2 linked regions of the Drosophila melanogaster genome follow. The gene in region 2 interacts genetically with the main gene of each other region. Each region holds a gene or a part of one and is shown on either strand. Other genes may lie near its edges.

The links.
Region 1: of prg (region 2) and fwe, changing one enhances a phenotype caused by changing the other (phenotypic enhancement), as found in Drosophila melanogaster (one study listed by BioGRID).

What each region holds. Positions count from the first base shown.
Region 1 is NT_037436.4:15,809,925-15,818,942, forward strand, and holds fwe (flower), read right to left. Parts: upstream 6,487-9,018; 5' UTR 6,353-6,486; coding exon 6,350-6,352; intron 6,133-6,349; coding exon 6,012-6,132; intron 3,703-6,011; coding exon 3,495-3,702; intron 3,430-3,494; coding exon 3,322-3,429; intron 2,974-3,321; coding exon of another isoform or gene 2,835-2,973; exon of another isoform or gene 2,318-2,834; coding exon of another isoform or gene 2,284-2,317; exon of another isoform or gene 1,296-2,283; intron 925-1,295; coding exon 780-924; 3' UTR 157-779; downstream 1-156. Other genes in the region: CkIIalpha-i1 (CKII-alpha subunit interactor-1), read left to right, coding at 7,124-7,249, 7,308-8,414. UniProt on the Drosophila melanogaster protein: Transmembrane protein which mediates synaptic endocytosis, fitness-based cell culling, neuronal culling, morphogen gradient scaling, and calcium transport. Regulates synaptic endocytosis and hence couples exo- with endocytosis.
Region 2 is NT_033779.5:8,461,817-8,467,194, reverse strand, and holds prg (piragua), read right to left. Parts: upstream 2,708-5,378; 5' UTR 2,586-2,707; coding exon 2,421-2,585; intron 2,363-2,420; coding exon 851-2,362; 3' UTR 501-850; downstream 1-500. UniProt on the Drosophila melanogaster protein: May be involved in transcriptional regulation. The function of this protein is unclear.

The sequences.
Region 1 (9,018 bases), on a different chromosome or scaffold from region 2:
AGTATTTGTTGTTATGGCGAAAAGTTTTAAAATTATACGATATTTGTGAGCGTAATCTGATTTTTTATTTCCCCCAAAAGATACCGCAGCTCAGGAATCATCCAAAAAGCATGCCCCACAATAGTTACATTTTAGCGATGATTACAACGATGATTTGTATAATTAATTTTATTTAACATAATTTAAAGTATCTTTAATTCAATTTTAATATGGTTTACATACAATATTTATAGTGTTATTTGCATTAATTTAAACATTTTAGTATTATGCATTTAAATATATTTAAGGTATATTTAAACTATGACTAAACATAAATTTTACATGATCTTTTTTTTCACCTCGCTAGTGATGTCGTTCAATAATTTATTTGCAATTTCTACTTAGTTGAAACCAAATGTTTTGGAATGATGGGACACAGGCAACACAATTAATTAATAGGATACAGAAAACGCAAAACGCTTTTAAAACCAATATACATTTACATACATTTAATACAAAAATGGTTTAAAATTTAATGATCTTGTTTTGGGTGGCTTCTTTCTGATCGAGTAATTTGGATTGCTCTAGAAAGAGATCAGAGCTAATCGGATTTAAAAACTTTTGTTATCCATTTGCGTTGGTTATTGAACAATCAGAAATTGCACATGATTATGTTTATGATTGCCTGCCGATGTTCTCTTGGTTAGGTTTGCCCTTCAAATGTTGCGTTTTGAGTCTTGTTTTCTCACGGCACACCCAGCTCTTCGATTCCTCGAAATCCCGATCAGCTAGCTTCTGAATCACACATTGCTGTCCGTGCCCACGGCACCGGTGAAGGAGAAGGGCTGGGCGTTGTTCACAATCCCCGCTCGATCGTTGGTTTGGGCAGGTGTGTTTCCTCCGAAGGTTTGCTGAGCAGCTGCCCGCATGTCCTCGGCGGATGCTCTGTTGAAAAAGTAAAAGGATTACATTAGTCTTTAGAGTACAAAACATTGGCAAATGGTTTCCAAAATTATACAATTTACAAGTGCTCAACTAAAAACTGTGACTTTGCCTACATGAAACCAAAGGGTCGATAGAACAGCCAGATATTTCTAAAAGCTTTTCTAAGACAAACAAAAAAAAACTAAGGCAGCATGAATACAGTATACAAGTCTTACATAAATACCGGGAACTACAGGAACTAATCTAAATCAATTTCATTCTTCGTGTGCACAAGTAAATAAATACGTCATCAATCATTGACAAAATCTACGAAAAATATACAATTTACAATCGTTAGCAATTACAAAAAGGAAAGCTCAAAATGTATTTGCCTGTAGTGATCTCTTGGACGCAGCAAAGTTCAGAACTCGTTAACGTAAATCGTATATTGTTGTTAATCGCTGTTGGCCGTCGTTGAATGTACTTGGCTTTAACGGCAGGATTTTGGACAGTTTTCAGGTGGCATGTACAAAGTGTTTGATATTTGAATCATGCGCGTTCAAATTCTAACGAAATATTTTACATGTTTATGTTTTCATTTTTAGTGTTGCGTTCATTGATTAACAAAGTTCAACAAATTAATTATGATTCGTGATTACTTTAGGTGAGACTCTTAGTTGCTGGCGAAGGCTAAATTGTAATAAATTATCGCGAGTTTCTTGTAAATAATGTATATTTAAAGTTATAATAATTAAACTATACAATAACTTATGCGTAAAGTAAACAGATTTTGGAATGCTTCTGTGGTAAGAATGCCAATAGGCAACAACAAAAATAATTTAAAACGTTTTTCTCAGACTTTCAAAGTTAAACGATTGGAATAAACTCTTATAAATAACTTAGGTATACTAAAAAAAATAAGCATATACTTCTAGCAAACAAGAAATCATACGAAACCCGAAAACGAAATCCTATTAACCAAGTAATTGTCTAAAAAGAAAACCGTCTAACAATGCATCAAATTGAAATGGACACTTTTCGGTTACAACATTTAAAAAATATAACTGGTAAATTCTCAACTTGTTGTATATATATATATATATATATATTCTATCTGTATGCTTGATTATGTTCAATTTCAAATTGTGACTATCCCGCGAGCAAATCGATTCTCAAATAACGTTTAACATTTAATTTTATGGTTTACATCGAAGCAAAGCATATAAAGTTAATTATTTCTGAGTTGTACATATTGCTCTAGGTTCTCGACATTCACTTGTCCATATCATCAGTGGCTTTCCATTAGCATTAGCTGTGTGTGAGTGTGTGGAAGCTGTGGTTAACTTATAGGTTCCGGTTCCTCTTGCATTCGGTTAGCTTTCAAATATAGTTTCTCACTAAAAATATATGCTTGCTGCAGAGTTTGACATGTGAGTTACGTTATTGTTATCAGTAGTTGTTCTATGCATATTATATATATTTAACTGTAGTTCTTAACAACACCAACCGCTCGACGAAAGATATTAAAAAATTTGAATACGAATATAGTACGAATGCCATGCAAAACGGGGGGTCGAATGACGGAAATGCATTTGCCCAAAATATACTTTGATTACTAACACTCTCGGTTTCAACAGTAATGAGAATTTCGTTAAATTTTCTTTTGTATTTGGTGGGGTGTTCTGTATACTAGTTCTCTGATGCCCTACAATGCTGCTTTGTAGTGATTTTCCTTTTCACTTAGTTGCATTTATCCTCGGAACGAACACTAAAAACTAGGCGCCGTAAAATATTTGTTACTCGATCAATTCTTGCATCGTTCGCATTTCTAGTGGAGTATTTTGTGTGTGAATCTGTGTATCTGAGTATCTGTGTCTTTATCTGTATCTGAGTGTGGTTTTTTGGCAGTTACTAATGGCGCGGCTAGGAATTTATGTGGGGCGCCAGACATCGGGGTCTTCCATGAGTGTGATATGCTGATCGCCGCCCATCTGCATCTGACCGCCCGCCTGACTGCCGGCCATCTGTGTGGGCGATGTGGCAGCGGCGGCCATGTCCTCTCGAGAAGCTCTACGTGTTAGTTTATAGTTATTTAAGCGTTTTCACAGTGGCAAGCACATCGTGGGAATATAGAGAAAACATTTTGTTTCGATTAGCAAAAATGGCTTAGCAAAACTAACTAAATCGCTCGCTCCTCCGTTCGCTTAGCAACTAAACTAACCCAATAATCGAAGTCGTCTTTAAATTCAGAAATTCACCATAAAGCTTGTTTTTTAAATTCAGATTAATGTTTTAGGAACACATGAGTGCCTAATCAATGCAGTTTGATTTGAATCCAGCTATTTCTTTTAAAAATTCTGCGGCATAGCTGCAATTTTCTGAATTTAACTGCGATTTTCCGAGGTGCCCCATACTCACTTCTTGCCTAACGCCATCATGCCGTAAACCACGCCAGTGCCAAAGATCAGCCCACTGCCGAATAAGCTGGCCAGTCCAAAGCACAGAATAATGGGCGGAATGGCCATGCTGAAATGGAAAACATAATCTTTAGGAAATATTACAATTTGTGACAAATTTCTTTGGTTACTCACGCAATGTAGAGCCCGGCACGGAAGTACAAGGGCTTAGATTCCACCTTTTCCGCGATCTCGTTCACCTGCCCAAAGCAGACGAAACAGCAGGGAGCCTCCAAGAGCATCACCACAAATCCTGCCACCATTTGAAGGATGCCAGCCACCAGGCAGGATACGCTGAGCGTGATGATGGAGAACACATTCCACAGGCCGAAAAGAATGGCAACTGGAAGGAAAACATGGGATAAAAGATGTTAGTTATGCAATGTTATAATCTACTAATAATGAATATTTTCCTTGGCTATTATGAATTTGCTCCTCAATCTACTGTTTCCATGTAGCTCAAGTTACTGCTTACTGCTAACTTCTATTGATTTTTTATTATTTAAAAAAATTACATTCCTATCATATGTTGTATTTAATGTATGCAGAGGTCAAGCTATTTTTGTAATTTCCAATAAAAGGCGTATATCTTTATCGCTAAACACTGACCAAAAATACCAATATCATACTCCCACTAGACCCATTATGTCGGGCCAACCGCCCCGTATGGTAAAAACGAGGAAACGCAATCTAATCTACAACGCTGACTCATATTGTGCCAATTTCTAACTTTTTATGGCCTTCTCTTTTATTTAAAAATTTTTTAAACAAAAACGAGCCACAGAAGCGTGACAAACAGCATGAAAAACAGTTGGGCAAATTGTTAGTTGATAGTAAGTAGTTCAGTTCACAGGTAGAATTCACTAAATTCCATTCGATATCGCTAGAGGGGCGTACAAGTGAATTACATTAAAATATTTTATCAGCTGCTTTTGGTCTATGATAAAAGCATAAACAAAGAGTAAACAGCACATACGACTATAATTCGCAGATAAACAAATGCCTGGGGCGTGATAATTGGATAAAAGTGGCTGGTATAAATGCAGCAAAAGATCACGAGGAAAGGTTGAATTCTAAAATTCTAAATACATGAATAATAAAATAAAAAAGATTTCACGATTTAGGCCACTTTTAATATTTAGCTTCGCAAGTTAGGTTTTTCCTTTTGCGAAATCGGATCTGGGTTTTGAGGTTATTGCGGTTCTTAAAGCCAGGCAAACTGACCCAACCTGGGGAAGAAGTCGTTGTGCTCCACGGAACGGCTTATAAAATTATTTATTAATCATAGACTTTGGTTTTATTTTACGCAAACAAAACCGGTTCATTGTGGAAGCCGGACGAGTGAGTTGTGATCCCTTAATTGAGGTATTCAGCTATTTATATTGATTTTAAGTGGATGGTGTTCATTTGTTGGGCAATTTCTGCATTTCACTAAGTGAGAATCATTGCCAGAATATCCAACAACAAAAGATGCTTTTGTACAGAGAAAAAAAAGATGTTAAAAACGTTTTGAATAAATAAATATTCCTTTGGTTGATCTCTAAAAATTCCAGGAATAATATGTCAATGAGGCATATTGTTTCTGTGGAATTTTCATTTATATACATATGTATGGTTTAGATTGATTTTTAAAATAATTTTTGTAAGTATTCTAACGACACGAAACCCAATAGCATAATCAAAACCCCAACTGCGATTAAAAAGATTGACTTGGACTTAATCAAAGTAGATCACGACTACTTAAAAGTTTATTGAACTGCATTTTTTTATGCATTCAGAAGGTGATGATGAAATTACAAAAAAGATGCCCCAATTGAATTTAAGATACGCATAGACTTATTACGATATTGCACTTATAACACGTGTGGCAGCCTAAGGGTTAAGGTTAACTGAGTCCAGATAAAAAAGCAAATACGCAAACGGGTAAAACAAAGTTAAAAATAGAGATGGAAAGAGGGAAGCTGCTGATACAACAAAAGGCAGTGCGAATTTCGATTGAATGGGCACAGAGAATTACATTCGATGCGGAAAGAAAAAGCAGAGCGCCAAACTTGACACAGAAAAGCTCCTATACATACTTGCAATTTCCTACACACGAAATAAAAAGTTATCAAACGAAATGGTTAGATAAGAGATATTAAGTGCAGGAAGCCCACTTAGTTAAGTGGGTGAATGTATTATTTTATATTTCAATAACAAAACAAAAAAAAACCTTTTTTGGACTTTGTTTTACCTTAAAATTATACGTTTCATTCTTAATTCATTTGGAAATCTCACACTTTACCCTACATTTCTTTGATTTTGATGTAAAAATAAACTTTAGCTACATACATAACTAGTATTTTTTTCAGTGTGTGAATTTGTGTATCCTTTTTGTGTTGTCTTTTCCATGTTTCCTTTCTCCGCTCTCACTGCCTCTCACCTCTCACTCACCCTCTCTTGTTTTTCCTTTATCAATGTCAGAGAGCGTGCGTACACACACGAACACAACTGCACACCTACACCTACGAATAGATAACAGCAACAACAACAAAGGGTGGTACACAAAAATCGATGCAACATATTTTTGGGCCGCCCAATGTCACGGATGTTTTTCCCAACTTTTTAATGTGTTAAGCTAGTAGATAATTTATTATATATCCTACAACTTACAGAAGGCGGCCACAATGCCCAGCAATCGACTTCCATATTTGAGATACCACGGCTGCTCCGGTCCAATTGGATCTTGTTGATTCGGCCGTGCCAGCAGACCCGTTATCTTTTCCGCAAACGACTGATCCGGGAAATAGACGGAAATAGGGAGAAATCGAAATGCAATTAGGAAAAATCGAAGCACAATTTTGTATTGTGACGCGGCGGCCGCTTTTTTTAACACGCACACATTGCCACGACAAAAACACACACACCAGTTAACGCGCGGCTCACATGCATACACACTGACACCGCTCACTGCGTCAGCATTTTATCTCAGTCAATCAACAACTACCTACCATGGCTATTTATTTAGTTAGTTAGCTAGGCTTAAACTAATTCGAACAATTACTATTTGCACTTTTCACGTCACACGGAACGAAAAAAATCCTGTTGTACTTTGCGTTCTGCTGCACGCGAACCGAACTAGATCGCGATTCTGATGGCCGATAGAGCCTATCGATACTCGGAAGTTATCGGAGGCGAATGGAACTAGTTTCCTGGTATCCTGGATTCACTACAACATTTTTTAATTTTTAAATTTATATTGCAATTAGTCAACTTCTTACTTTTTTCATAATTATTTGTATTTTCTTGTTTTGGGTTTCGAACATTCAAATAATTACACAAATACTTTTTTAGGTAATGAAAAAACTACAGTCTAAACTTGTAAATTGGTTTTTGTTCGATTATGATATTAAACAATATTTTCCGGTTCTCTTAGCAAATGTTAGGCAAATTTGTGTACATTGAAAGCTTTTATACCGTTCAATATGCAGGCGGCATCTTTAGAAAATTCACTTCGATCTCAGATCGTTCACCTAACTCCTAAATCTGAACAACTATCTCTATTCAAATCAATCAAAATTAATTTATTTTTAGATTTGCATAAATTTCTAAGTCCGTAAATTAAAAATCGATTAATTCAATTGCCTATCGACATTAAGCAGCTCTGCATTGTATCGATAAATTAAACATCTATCGATAGTATCGATTAGCAGACATCGAAGAAATCATTGATTACTTGCCTTTTATTAACTTGGTTTTTGGACCTCCTCGAAAATATCAGCAAAATGACAGAAGCGGAAATTTGCAAACTATGCAAGGATAACCGAGCAATTGAGATCGATCTCGAGAAGCCCAAATTCAAATCGGCCAATAAACTGCTGCAAAGACTTTTCGATTGGTACAAAATTGATGTAAGTTCTGAAAGTGAGTCCAATGGATGTCAAATGCAAAGAAACCCACGTATTTTAGGCTGCTATCCTGGGGGAAAATTACTGCATTTGCGAGCCCTGCTTTGGAGAGACTTTGCGCATAAGCGAATCCCTGGAGAAGTGGGGCACGGCCCAGGACGAGTTTCACCGGAGGCCCATCGAAATAGACGACTCCACTGCATTTCAGATCAAGTTGGAGGTGACATCAAACAAAGAAGAGGTAGAAACGGAAAAGAATGATGAGGAGAATTCTTTCGATCAGCATATCGCGGAGCCAGTGAAGGAAGATCCATTGGAAAAAAACGAGCATATGGAGATCGTAGTCGAAGAATCTTTGAAAACCGCGTCCGTGGATTTCTTCAGCGTGGGATTGTCACGCGATGGCTTGGCAGTCACCAAGTTCTTCAAGGACAAGACCCAAGCCACTCGGATGCTGTGCACCTGTTGCGGCCATGTGCTCGAAATCCTGACCCACATACGCATGCATTCTTGTAAACCCCGCCCGAATCCGGTCTACTATTGCCGCGATTGTGGTTCAGAGTTCCACAAACTACACGAACTACATGAGCACATGAAGACGATGAAACACAACAAGACCATGTGCGGCGCAAAGGATTTGGAATTTCTGTGCCTCAGATGCAACCAGATATTCCCACGCTATTTCGACGTTATCCGCCACGAGAACAGCGTTCACAATGTATCCGATTTCATCTGCGTGGAGTGCAACATGTCCTTCGCTAACCAAGGATCCTACAGGAGGCACACGAGGAGCCATAAAGTCAAATTCACGCAGCAGCGATTTTATGAGTGCCCATATAAGGACTGCACCTCAAGTTATCGAGTGTGGGCGCGCTTAATGTCGCACATGAGTTCCCACGGCCTCTTTTCTGGATTCAAAAGCAAAGTGCCGTCTACCCAACAGGAACGACGTCTTCTGGAGGGCAAGTTTATGACGCTGGACCCCATGAAACGGGTTGAACCCGATCGCCGAAAGTTGCCATACCGCAAGAAAAGCTTTTACGCTAAGGCAGATTTCCCGGAATCCCCGACGAAATGTACCAACGGAGGAGAGTTCATCAGCCTGCCCAAGAAAATTTCCCTGCAGAAGGGAAAATACATCAATCTTTCGGACAATTCAAGACCTTAGTTACCAACTAGGCTAGCAAATAATGGTAATCTTGAAAACTGATTAAATTGTATAAATTAATATTTCCACTACTGTGTGTATATTATTAATTCTTAGATAGCCAATTTTAGTATAACTTTTTTGTTATTAAGAAATTTACCCCCGCGTTGTATTCTTTACAATTGTGAAAAAAGGCGGATAAAACATACTTCCGTTTTATAATTTCTCTTCGTGGATAAACGTTGAGATGAAGTGTTTTTAAACCCAATAGAAATAAACAATCAGTTTTAAAACTTGGTACATCAATTTATTGCCGGAAATTTTTGGGGGGAAAACGTTGGAAATATATATTGCCACAAATAAGTTATTTTATAATCTTTTTACGTTACAATTGTTCTTGATTGAAGAGTTAACTTGGATTTTGTATTTGCTTGTTTTGGCATTAAATTCTACAAATTGTATTTTTGATATCGTATGATTTTGAAGGAGGTGCTTACACTAGAATAGAATTGCTCAACCAAAGAATCTGGATTACTTTCCACTTTATTTTCAGGAAATCTATTCTTGTGCATCCACGTCCTCGCTTTTGTTTTGGACGTGTTTACAGATTTGTTTTTTTTTTTTT
Region 2 (5,378 bases):
CATACACATAAATCGCCTGCGAAGTGACCCTTGGCAATGGCGAAGGTAATTGCGTACTTACCGCTCTCAGCGGAACCTGAACCTAACCAAAACCAAGCGAACCGTAAGGTGGATTCGTATTCCCTCGATTGCGTGCCCGTTTCGGGAATAGATTTATCGTCTCGTTTGAAATCCGCACTTTATTTATGGTAGCTTGGCCACATTTCTTTGCGGATCTCCCACTCCAATACTTATTATTTATTATTCTATCAAACGTTACGTTACACTGTCAGCACCAGCACAATTCACTACGCGCACTTCGAGGCGATTACGAGATTTCGAGGCGATCAAGATCCGAGAGCGCTGGTCGAGAGGCACTACCGTACGGGGCGAACTCAAGAAAGAATCTGCAGCGGTGCAGTTGCTCTGAAGATTTCGGAGAAGACCTTCTTCGTATCGGACAACGTGCAACTTGTTGCACGCAACATGTTGGTCTGAGACGACTGCTAATACAAAATGTTCAAATACCTTACTTGATATTTTATTTATATATTAAGTAAACCTACTTTAAATAGGTTTAACATAACTTAACTTTAAGAAGTTTTTTATAGAGCAGAAAACTTTCTTTAATATCTTATGAAAAATAATATCTTCACAAAGTCATACGATCTCGAAGAAAACCGTTTCAGATTTGGCCTTTTATTAAAAACCACTAAGCTACATTTTGGCAGACAATAGTCAGATGACTTAAACTATACAGATTCATTAACACCAATGGATTCTATGTTGACCTGAACGACTAAAACAGCCTTGACCTACAAAACTTTTCCGACCTATCAACTAAGCTTATTAAACATGTAAATATGTTGTTCTATTCCTCGGGACGAGTCTCGCTGTAGAAGCCCAGATTCATTGTGGGAATCATGTTGCTGTAGAACGACAGTTCCGCTGCCGAGGGACGCACTAGCTGGGGATCCTGAACTAGCGGAGCCGTCATAGCCACTGGAGCCTTTTCGGCCATTTTTAGGGGTAAAATAGCAGCCTCTTGAGCCCGCTGGGCCATCTTGTGCTGCAACTGATGGACTTTGAGGTGATTCTCCAGCTCAATTTGATGCAGGAAGCTAATGCAACAGATTCCGCACGTAAAGCTGGGACCATGAGCCTCTAGCTCATGGCGCTGCAGTTGCTCGCGTCGGTTGAAACCTTGATTACATGTCTTGCAGGCGAACAGCGAGTCCATGTGAAGAGCTTGATGGCGTTGCAGGTCCCTCTCCCGTTGGAAAGTTCGATCGCAGACATCACAGTGGTAATAGCGTGAGTTTTTGGTTTGTGCGGCAGCCTTTTGTTTAGCCTGCAACGCCTGCTGCTGCAGATCACCCTCCATCGGGGGAATTAGACCCATTTGCTGCTGCTGCTCCATGTCCCGCCTGGTATGGACTTGCTGGTGGGCTATTAGCTTATCCCTGCGCGAAAACGAGTAGGGACAGCGTCCACATTGGAAAGCCTTTACCTCTCCGTGCGAACGTGTGTGGCGCATCATTTCCACAGCCGTCTGGAAGGATCGCGGACACTGCTGGCAAACAAAGGGCTTGACACCGCTATGAATGCGCATGTGCTTGGTCAGATTTGTATTCCGCGAGAAACTCTTGGAGCAAACGTTGCATGTGAAGGGCCTCACGCCAGTGTGCACGATTGTGTGCTTTTTAAGATCGGAGCGGCGCACAAAACCCTTCCGACAGTGAGCACACACATACGGACGGTCCGGATCATGCAGTGTCTTTATGTGCGAAATCAAAGCAGGCCGGGTAACCAGCTTGATGTTGCAAAAGTTGCAGCAGTACGGTGCGTTGGGATCGTGTGCAGCCAGCTCGTGCTCTTGACACTCGGCGGGCAGAGTGAACCCAAGATCACAGTATTGACAGAGGAACGCTCGTTTTGGCCGTGCCTCCGTGGTGTTGGCGTTGTTGGCAACGGACTGTTGAGCCGCCATCTGGGCCGCATCCATGCCCAGTGGCATGTCGACGTCTTCGCCGTTCTGGCCATCTTCCTCGTCCTCCTCATCGTAGTCTTCCTCCTCCTCCTCATCATCGTCGTCATAGTTTTCGTACTCCCCATCGGAGCCGAGTGCGAATTCCTCTTCACTGCTCTCTGCCAGATTCTCTGGATCAACTTCCACAATAATGCAGCCCTCCTCGGGTACGAATACTCCGGGGTTGCCATTCAGGCCTGGACGGTGCTTCGGATGATCTTTAATCATCTCCTTCAGCTGCTCCTGCAGGGACTGTTCCCGCTCCTGCATTCCTTTTCGCAGCTCGAATGCCTCTTCGAGGATCTCCAGACACCTTGAGCAAATGAGCTCCGACAAACATTCGTTGCGATCGTACTGTAGGTGGAGAAGTTATTCATGCACTTTTTCCATGGATTATAAATGGCCCACTCACCTGAACGCTCCAGAGACTCTTGGAAACCTCTGCAATGGACACATCCTTGCAAAACTGCACGGTGTCATCGAAAATGTTTAGCGAGTTGGGATCCGTATTATGGTGGCACAGGCGACAAGTGCTCACATCCTGATCCTGGGTCATGCTGATATCCGATGTATGCATTCTTCAATCATATGCATTTAAGCCGGGATTGCAATAAATTATCCAATTGTTTAAGCAAACAAAAGCCACACCGGTAGCAAATAAAACGCGTTGGTCAATGGCCAATCTACCACGATAGTATCGATATGTCGCGAAATTAAACAACATGGTCCAATCGATTGTCGGAGGAAATCGATAAGCCGCTGCACAGTGGGTTACTTAATTGAATTATAGGAATTTTTGAATATTTGAAGTTTTTAAATTAAACAATTTTGTGTTTTATTAAAGTTCAGATTTGTACCTTTCCATTTTAAAATACTTTTACTAAAATTGTAACAAAGCCATATCTAATACGCAAAATAAACGTCAGCATCTTTGGTAGCAAAAACGAAACTACTTATGTGTAATTCTTTGGGGTTGAAGTTTGATGATGCTCAAATTCAATAAAACGCAGTTTCTTTCTACACATTAAAAATTTGTAAAGCTGTTTGCATAAAATATAAATTATAAGACTTATAAGGCTCGTGTCACACTTTTAAATCAGAAATGCACTTACGATTAAAGCAGTGGGCGGCAGGTACCTAATTGATGCGTACCTATGTAGGTACACGCCGTGAACACGCGAAGCGAGAGCTTTTTCAATTGCCCGCGGACTCTTGATTAAAGCGGAGGTATTTTTCGAGTGCCGGCACTCTTTCGGCGAAAGCGGATGATTGTTTAAAAATCTGTGCGTACGCGCGTATATTCCTTTAACTAATCGGGATTGATTGCTTGCGCGGTTATTGCTTAATTGCAGTGAGATTTTTGGTTCTATTGAAAGTGGCTAATGTTCGTTTAGTGGAATTTATTGCACTGCAGATGCTGCAAATTATACTAGAACACACACACACACATCGGCAAAACAACTGTTACGCCTACGCAGCAGCGGCAACAACAACAACAACAACAGCAGCAAGGGAATTAGCAGCAACAATTTTCCACCCATAGAGGGAAATAACTGTTCCGTGAGTTTATACAATTTGGGCTGTATTTGTTGTTTTCCACCCACGTACTTTTTGTCTTTATTATGCTCCTGCCGCTTCTCCTTCTTTCGCTCCTTTTCCCTACCCACCTCCCCTCTTCCACTTCTTTTCTCTCCCATGCGGTTAGTGTGTTATTCCCGTCCTTAAGGAATAAAAGCAACAGCAACCCCGTGTACATTTATTGTTCTCTCCCCCGATGCACGGAGAGAAATTTGATTTTGATGTGTAATCAGGTTCAATTTTATTATTTAGATTATATGCATAAAATGATGAACTGATTGGACCACATTGCTAAAGGAAACACAGGGTTTTTTTTTTACAATTTTGAATCAACTACTCCAAAAACATAAACACCGTATGAATGATGATCGCAAATTTCAATGGAATAGTTTTTTTTTTCTGTGTACCTATCATCCTGTTAACCCAAGCTTTGCCCTCGCACCCTGTAGTTCTCATGAGTGTTAAATTTTCTGCCACCAAGTCCCTGTTAATTTTTGGTTATTGGGATTCCTCACTTTTCACAGTTGCCGTTGCGCGTATGAAAATGAATTTGTGCATTTATAATTCATAAATAGGACTATAAAAAAGAGAATTTATAATTTCATGAATTTACCGAAATTGGGGTCTTTAAAATGCGTCTATTAGCCTATTTAGGTAGTGATTTGTAGTGAGTTAGTAGTGAGTAGAACGAAAGCACTCTAGCGTATGCACTATCTGCCCTAAAAAGTTTGAACATAAAGATAAAATATAATTGCTTAAGTGAAATAAGCGCAAAGATTGCATTCGAGCTTAATGGTCTGATTAAAGTCCCTAGAAGCAAATCTATATGATATCACCACACCGAATTAGTAAATATCCTTACCCTACGAGACTTCTGCTAACTTAATATTTACACTTGCATACAATTACCCCTAAACATAGGGAACATGCCATTTGCCGGCCACATGAGAGTGACTTCCAATTTTGTGTACAATGAAAAACAACTGAAGATTGCTGTCCTAAACATTCCACTCGGCAATTAAGTGCTCGGCAATGATCATTCGATGAGGAAAGTCCAATCAGCAGATCAAATGAATCGGTGCCGTGACTCAAGCTAGGTCTAGTTCTACAGCTTAGAATCACTCTCCCCGTTGACTTTGAACTTGACTTGAAACGCTGACGTTAAATTGACCTGAACGGCAATTGGTGGCTGTGGGGGAGGTCCAGACCTCATGTCCGGACTTAAGTTAATTTCCGCGGCCGCGTCACATGCGTAGCAACTGTGTAACAAAACCATGCCCATAGTTTCCCAGCGTGAAATCATGCCACAATCTTATCAGTAGCCTAAAGCTTATGCTGCCTGAATGAATCGATGTTCCGCTGTCGCACACCGAACGCTTCGCTGAGATTGTCGTGCGTCGAACTGATACTGATAATGGGTGTCAAACCATTTACCCCCTTCGCAATATTAAAAGCAGGCGATGACGGTGGACATTGTAAACAAAAAGTCAAACATGTGCAGTAGATAAATTGATTTTAGCACACTGTCAGAAATGTAAATTTAAAACTTAACCCGTATGAGTACAAAGTGTTTTTCTAAAATTTCTTCATTTGCAATCCAGTAACTTGTAGGCTGTAAAACCATGTCGGTAATTTTCTTGTCATTCAACCCTCTAGAATAATCACAGTAAAATCAATTCCACAAATGGAGCTGAATATTTCTCTTACAATAAATGTAGTTTCCCATATCATTGTTTATTTTTCGTTGTGTACCAAGAACCCAGTAAGCGCAGGGGTATAAACTACGATAAAT